Rhinolophus ferrumequinum: one gene and its partner. The protein of the gene in region 1 binds, or shares a complex with, the protein of each later gene. Links are inferred from orthologs where the notes say so. Each region holds a gene or a part of one and is shown on either strand. Other genes may lie near its edges.

What was found. The genes of interacting proteins can lie anywhere in the genome.
Region 2: the proteins of ELMO1 (region 1) and RHOG are in contact, whole or in part, in a crystal structure (PDB 7Y4A), measured with the Homo sapiens proteins. The link is inferred for Rhinolophus ferrumequinum from reciprocal best matches to the Homo sapiens genes ELMO1 and RHOG. Residues at the interface, in NP_001193409.1 of Homo sapiens: Lys9, Val10, Ala11, Glu13, Tyr18, Pro19, Leu21, Met22, Ala54, Asn71, Gly72, Ile74; in NP_001656.2 of Homo sapiens: Val36, Phe37, Asp38, Trp56, Tyr64, Arg66, Leu67, Leu70, Ser71, Pro73, Gln74.

What each region holds. Positions count from the first base shown.
Region 1 is NC_046303.1:7,352,003-7,355,746, forward strand, and holds the start of ELMO1 (engulfment and cell motility protein 1), read left to right. Parts: upstream 1-1,369; 5' UTR 1,370-1,498; exon of another isoform or gene 1,499-1,686; intron 1,687-3,744. UniProt on the Homo sapiens protein: Involved in cytoskeletal rearrangements required for phagocytosis of apoptotic cells and cell motility. Acts in association with DOCK1 and CRK. Was initially proposed to be required in complex with DOCK1 to activate Rac Rho small GTPases.
Region 2 is NC_046294.1:47,346,994-47,350,737, reverse strand, and holds the start of RHOG (rho-related GTP-binding protein RhoG), read right to left. Parts: upstream 2,969-3,744; 5' UTR 2,825-2,968; intron 2,306-2,824; exon of another isoform or gene 2,159-2,305; intron 1-2,158.

The DNA.
Region 1 (3,744 bases):
GAAAACAGAGAAGTTAAATTACTTTCCTGGAGTCATCCTGCTTTGTTATTATTGGCTTCTAATGATCTGGACCCAAGTATTCCTGCTACTAATACTTCCTCTCAAGGTTACACGTATAATAAGGGGTCAGATCAGGGCTGTTCATTAGAGTATAAGGTGAGCCACTAATGAGAGCCATATGTGTAATCTTACTTCTTCTAGTAGCCACATCCAAAACGTAAAAATAAACCAGTGAAATTATTTGAAGTTGCATATATATACTGTTAACCCAGTTGCATCTAAACTCTTATCATTTGCTGAGCTGATGTCATCAACACTAAACTCATGAACAACCTATTTTACATTCTGTTTTTCACACTAAGTCCCCTGTCTATTTTCCACTTACTGAACACCTCAGGACTAGTCACATTTCAAGTATACAGTAGCTGTTTGGATCTCTGCTCATGAACAGCTCGCACAGGACTACAATTTAAATCTCCTGGGGGTGGGGATTGAAATTTAAAGGGGAGCTCTGCCTTCCAACTTTGATTCTAAGGCCTCCCTGCCCCCAACTTACCTGGTTGCCAATTTGAATGGAATCCTCAGCAACTGCCTTTGCCTTTTCTGGTAGAGCCAATGTAGATATTTCTGAATTTGGAAAGGACAGGTGTTTCTCCTGCAACCTTCCAACAACTGTCATTTCCCTCTTGGCAGCTATGCTGGGAGAAGACGTGTTTGATTTCTGCTTTGAAAATGTCTGAGGTAGGTTGCATGAATTAAATAATGTACTCTAAATACCAATTTGGGGGTGGAACATCTTGTTTTATGCAAATTCAGGGAGGCCCTGGCGTAACTGATCAGGAATAAATCTTGTCGCCTGTACATGCCTTCGTGAGGGTTAGGGGAAGGCAGCATGATGTAGTTATTTTTGCCATGCTGCCCAAGGAGAGGGGTAGAACGTCAAAACAAACACACCAGCCTCTTAAAGGAGCTTTAAAACAACCCACCGAAGTTTCCCCTCAAAGTTCCAAACCAACTGCCAAAAATGAAGGTACGTAAAAAGATGCCAGGCGCTCTCGGTCTCCTTAAGGTGGCGCTCTGAGGGTGACGGAGTTAATTAGTGCCTGCAAAACGCCGCGTGTGAGCTCATCCGAGAAGTCCTGCTCTGTACACTGAGTATTTATGGCAGATCTGAGGCGGCCACGGTGTTTGACATTTTCTTTTTAAGTAAGGGGACTTCAAAAAGTCGTGGGCACTCGCCCCCACCCTTACCGCGCCCCAGGCAAAGTACCAGGCAGGCCCCAGGGCGCAGGCGGGCGGCGAACGCGCCAACCACGCTTGTCCAGGCGCAGGTGCCGGGGGCGGCGGCGGCCACTCCGCAGCGTCCGCTCCGGAGGAGAGTTCGCGGCTGATCTCTGGATGCCTCGCAGCTGCAAAACGTGTCTCTGGCCAGCAGGAGGAAGGAAGAGGAAGTGAGAGCAGCGGCAACCGGCGGAGCAGCAGCCTGCGGACCCGGAGTGTAAGTGCGTGTGCTCGGGCAAGCGCTAGCGGGCGAGGATGGGCACGGGATAGTCAGACCACCCACACCGCCGCGGCCCCGAGCAGGGCGACAGAGCCTCCGGGCCCCCTTCAATGGTCGCGGGTCGCCAGAGGTCTGTTCGCTGGGAACCTTCGCTGCCACTGCTGCTGTCCTGCGACCCCGGGCAGGTTCGTAAAGTTTCCTGAGCTGGCGCGGAGCCCCGGCTCGCTGACCTCGGCAGACCTGGGGGTGGGGTGGGGACGGAGGGATGGGGCTGGGGCAAGGAGGAGGCGTCCTGCTCCGGGGACTCTGGTCGCCTCGGAGACACTTTTGTTTCCTCCCTGGGGGCGCCGCGGCTCGGGCGGGGGTGGCCGCGGCGTAGTGCGGGGTGAAGGCTGCGGGCGCGACGGGGCGCTGGGCATTTGAGGAAGTCTGGGCAGAGGTGGATGGGGGGCTGGAATGGGAATGGGAGCGGAGGGAGGGGCCCCCGGGGATGGAGAGCGGGGCCTGGGGCCCGGGAACCCGGAGAGACGTTTCGTCCAGGGCCGGCTGGAGGGGGCCGCGGGAGGGCTGCGCTGCCGGCGACTGGGATTTGGGGCCACGGGGAGTGAGAGATTGGGGGCTTGCAGTCACTGGGGGCTGCGCGGGAGAAGGAACTGGCGGCTCGGACTCCCGGCATTTCTCGAGCACTGGCAGACGGGAGGGAATCCCCCAGCGAGCGCGTTCCTGGGAGGGGGCGGTGATGGGCTGGAGGGAGGGAGGGCCGAGAGGGACTGGAGCGGGTGGATGGGGCAGCTGGGAGTCCCGGGGGCCACTGTGAGCAAATACACGCCTCCCGGGACACGCCGAGGTCCCGGTTGGGACCGGCAAAAATGGTGGGGGGCTTCGATAGAAGATACCGGCATCAAAGAGGGGGCGCACCCGGCGCGCCTTCAGAGAAAGGGGGCAGCGAAGCTCGGGGGTCCCTAAAATCAGAGTGGAGAGGGGCGGCGGAGATGGCAGGAGTAGCTTTGAGGAAGAGGAAATACAGAACTCAGCCGACCCGGGGGTGCGCGCGTGTTTGGGGTTGGGAAGTCCGTGTTGTGCCGCGGGCGCGCGCGAGGGTGGTGAGAGGGGGTGTGTGTGTGTGTGTGTGTGTGTGTGTGTGTGTGTGTGTGTGACTTCAAGGGGCTTTGGAGCCAGGGACTCCCCGCCGAGTGACCCTTTCCCGCCTGGGGGCCCTTTGAAGTTGGAAGCTTCAAGCTGGGGTTGCTGGTGTTGGAAGCTGCGTTGACCTAAAGCCGCAGGGCTTGGCCCCCATAGTGACCCGGCTCTGGGCCTCTGGACAGCTCCTGAGACTCACGGAGTGTGTTTTGTGATGCCCTGTGCTCAGGGCACGGGCCTGCTAACACCGCTGTTCATGAATGATTTGGACCTAATTCGTTCTAGTTAAGGTTTATTTCAGAGAACCTAAGACAAGGGTTTGTGCCTCCCGGGGTGGAGGCCACAAGGTCCCCATTTAGGGCTGCCAGTGACTTGGGGGTGCGGTGGGGGGACAGTGGAACATTTTCTGAGTTTTTTTTTTTTTGTCCATAAAGTAAAAGGAATTAATGACCTGTATGTTTACAAAGTATACATACATGTAATGTATATACATACATGTAATGACCTGTTTTTATATAATGACCTGCATGTGGATATCAACTGTTTGAGGAGCTAGAGGGATTTACCCCCACTTTTAGATGGAAAAGACCTGGCTGGCAGCAGCTGTTATTAAGGACCTCTGGTCATGATTTTTCATATTATCTCACCTCCATACCCGCTTGCCAAGGTTGTTTCAAGGATTCCAGGCCCCCAGTTTACAGAACCGGGCATTGTGAGTTAGAAGGCCGGATCGCCTGCTGTCACCCAGCAGACTTTTCCCCTTAGAACTGACCTTTCACATCTGGGCTCTTTACTAGGTACATGTCCTATCTTTCCAGGGCTGTGGTTAAATGTGTATGTGACCTTTCCTACTCAATTTACTGCTCAGAAAAGACAGTCTTTAAATTAGACATACTGGTTGTCTTCTTGGGAACTTGTGAGGGAAAGACCTGGAGTGTTGCAGCTCTGTAGCGGGGGGGTGGTTTTGGGAGGGAAGGGAATGGGGGAAAAGCTTGGTAGGTGTCAGGGAGGGGCAGGCTGGGAGGCAAGCCCAGAACTGGGTCTGGTGGGACTGAGGGCCTGGAGTAGCCACTGGGCTATAGGGTGGGTGGTGCTGTTGATGG
Region 2 (3,744 bases), on another chromosome or scaffold:
AAATAACTCTCCAGATCCTAGATTCCCAACCAGGATTTGTGACAATCTCACATCAGCCACTTCTTTTCATGTCAGGACTTTGGCTTTATTTCTTTAGCCAAGAACTCAATAGCAGCCTCCTAGGTTGCAGGCACCCCCCGCCCCTGATATTTTCCCATTTAGACCTCTCCTACCCTGGTCATATTTTTTCTAGCAATGATTTTCTTGCAATTAGCTCAAACCTCCAGTGGGACCAGATTGTGCCCGGGAGAACCCATCTCATCCGTCCTATCTTCACCCCCAGAGACCTGTGGGTTGCTCAGTTATGCAGAATCCTAAAATAAGTACCCATCGGCAAGGCGGGAGTCAGGACTCCTGGGTGGTTTTTTTACTGAGCCGTGATGCTGGGAGGGGGTCCTGCAGGCACATCCTTCCCTGAGCAGGATTTAATGTAGGTCCCCGAGATTTCCTCTCAGGGCCAAACCCCTTATACCTCCCAGAAATGAGAGTAGAAGACACTGGTGTGTGGACGAAGAGACAGTTCATGGGAGAGGGCAGCTGTGAATGGAAGAGGACAGAATGGGGAACAGGAATAGCCCTTAAATCTAGCTGTGCTTGGGAATCCCAAAAGAGTAGCACTTGCTGCCCTCCCCCCCTTTTTTTCCTAGTGGAGGGAAATGAATAGAGTAGACTGGAGGAGACAGAGAGAAGCAAGATCTCACAACATGCATCTCAAAGGCTTGAGGAAAGAGCCCTAGAAAGGGCTTACAGAGCCAGTTGGACTAAAGTTAGACTCAGGAGAAATTCCTGATAAGAGAGGGAGTAGGATCTTAGGTAAGAGGGGGAATATTAAGGAATCCTGAAGGCAGAGGGCTCAGCAGACTGCAGAGGATTACTGTCACCAAAGCCCTGATGCAGCCAGGGCACGTAGGTACCCAGCCTGGGCAGGCCCCGGAGGGCAGCAAGAAGGGCAGAGGGGGCAGATACCTTTGCTTCCCGCTCCTGTTCTTTTCCTGAATTGGCACTAAAACAGGTAAGAATGAAGTTAGAACAGCTCTAGTCTTCTCTCCAGAACCCTGCCTTTGCTTCCTCCCTTTCCTTCTGTCACACCTAGCAAACTTGGTCCCATTCTCCCCACCAGGCGGTGCTGGAACCAGTAAGCACTGGAGTCAGGGGCCTTCGGGCTGTCCTCTGGCCTCCAGGCCTGGCCTCTTGATCAAGCACCCAACGGTCTGAGTGATTTTGATTTCCCACGGCCTCTCTCAACAGTCTTATTACTGTGCCACTCTACCCTGACCACCACAGACTGCTTCCTCCTACCCTACCCACAACCGCACTCACTGCAGGTTCCCTTCATTCTGCTGGCTTCCCCTGCTCTGGGCCCTCTCAAGGCTGAGAGCAGTTATTTTGTCTCCAAGAGATAAAAATGTCGACACACAAGACGCACGCACGTACACATACAGAGAGGTTTTCTAGCCCTTTAATCATCTCTATTACTGGGAGGTTGCAGCCTGCCTCTCTGAGCTGGGGAGGTTTGAAAAGGCTCTGAAACTCACCAAAGATCCTGACGCCAAAGCTGGGGATAAGTGGCTGAAAGGAAAGGAGACAGAGGGATCAAAAGAATGAAGCGAGATGGAAGAAGCAAGAGGGTAGATACATCTGTGGGAGACAGAAGCTAAGCAAAGAAGGGCGTGGGGGTAGGCTGCAGGGGACAGAGACGGACAGAAGGGCAGGGTAGGTGAGAGGTCAGGGCCTTGGCATGACTGTGTGTTTGGGGGAAAAGAAACTGAAAAAGATTCGAGAAGTGGGTGATGGAGGGTTTGTGGGTAGAGTCTGAAGAAGGAATGGAAGAAGACAAAGTGAGAATGTATAGAATTTAGAGACTGCCAATGAGGGGTGCGGGCCGGCGAGAGGTCAACTAGGAGACGGCTCCTAATCATTTCCCAAGGCCAGAACCCCTGCTGTCTCCCACAAGCCCTATTAGTCTCTCCATCTCCTGAAAACAGTGCTGCTCTCAGTGATGCCATCTTGTCAGGGACTATCAGTACCTCTGAATGAGAGTCCTTCCAACTCTAGTCACAGGACAAGACCAGGCCCTTTCTCTTCCTCAGTTTACCCACAAAAGAGCAAGGCCAGGCACCCCTCAGCCAGGCACAGCAGGTATTTGCTCACCAAATACCTGTTGCTTGGTTCCATGGATGGAGAGGTTGGGCCTCAGCAAAAAGACGCACACAGAGAAAGATTGGGGTCAGCGGGGCTCCCGCGCCCTCCTGAGTGCAGAGGACCCTTGGGCTGCAGCCTGCGAGCAGGTTCTGGGTTGGTACCGATCTTCCAGTGAGGAAGCTCGTCCTCTGCAGGCTAGGGCGAGAGGCCAGACACCGCCCCCCTCTCAACCTCACAAATGTCACAACTGCCAGACCAGTGGGAGCGCCATCTCTAGCCCAGCCCTCCCACCCCACTCACTGCAGAATAGCTCCCCAACTTCTGAGGGCACCCCACCTCTGAGTCCCACATCCCAACTCTAAACCCTTCCACTTCAGAGACTTTTCTCTCTGGGCGCGAGACCTCCGATCTCAGGGGCCCCCCGCGGCTCCAGGGAGCCGGTACAGCCGCCCACGGTACAGGAACCCACCCTCCAGGAGCTGCCGCCGGCTCGCAGTGGCTCGGTCCCCGCCCCGCCCGCCCGCCCGCCCGGCCGCGCCCGCCCAACTTGCAGTGAGCCCAGAACCTCCCGCCCGCGGCCTCCCGCAAGCAAACTTCCTGGGCCGGCGCCCGTGCCCAGTCCCGGACCGGCCGGGCTCCCTTCCCCGGGACCCCCAGCCCGCCGGCCCGCGCCGGGCCTCACCTGGAGCCCTCCCCGCCGCGGGGGAGCTGGGGGCGGCGGCAGCAGCAGGCGGCTCGAGAAGGAAGTGAGAGCGGGAGGCCGGAGGAAGTGGGGGGGGCGGTCCCGGCGACCGGGGCGGAGCGCGGGGGCGGGCCGGGGCGGGGCCGCACCAGGAAGTCCGTGGGGCCGGTCCCCCCACCCTCTGTCTCTTCTCCACCCCCAGCCTCGCCCCCGGCCCGGTCCTGGGCTCCCTGACCCCAGCCCTCTCCCTCCGAGGCTCTTAACGTCAGTCCTCCCAAGGTCAGTCCTCCCAGTCTCCTCCTTGCCACCCCCAGCCCGGTAGAGGCCCTAGCCTAGGTTCTAAGCTTTTGTCCCCCTCCCCGTTTTTGCCCCCACCAAGCCCTGCGGGAAGATGCTGAGAACAGGCGCCCCTAAGTCTTGATGTCTTCAAGCCCAGGAGTCGAGCGATATCCAAGGCTCGGCGTTGGTCAGAATGGGTCAGGCTGGGGCAGTCCCCACCCCTGCCCGGAACCCCGAGGGAGTGCGGGGTGGTGGTGATTCAGCAGTGGGAAGGCCCCAGACCCCTGGGGAGAGTGCGGAGACTGGGGGAAGGGGAGCTGGCGTCAGCACCCGGGGAAAGACAAGATCAGCAGAGGCGCAGGCGGAGCCGCGGGCCCCAAAAAACAGGATGTCGCGTCGTCGTTCCGCACCCGGCCACTCCGCGCGCTTGTGCTCTGGGGAGGGGGCGGGGCGGACAGAGGACCTTGGGCTCCCTTCGCCCCCTCTTCTCGCCCGAACGCGCAACTGCTGGGGCAGAAGGGCCGCACCCAGGCCTGAGATCCTGCAGCGGCCCTGGGGACAGGCGGGTGGACAGACTCGTGGGCGCCCTCTGGTGCTTCTGTTCCCCGGCGTTGCTCTTGGAGCTCTGACTTGAGAATGAG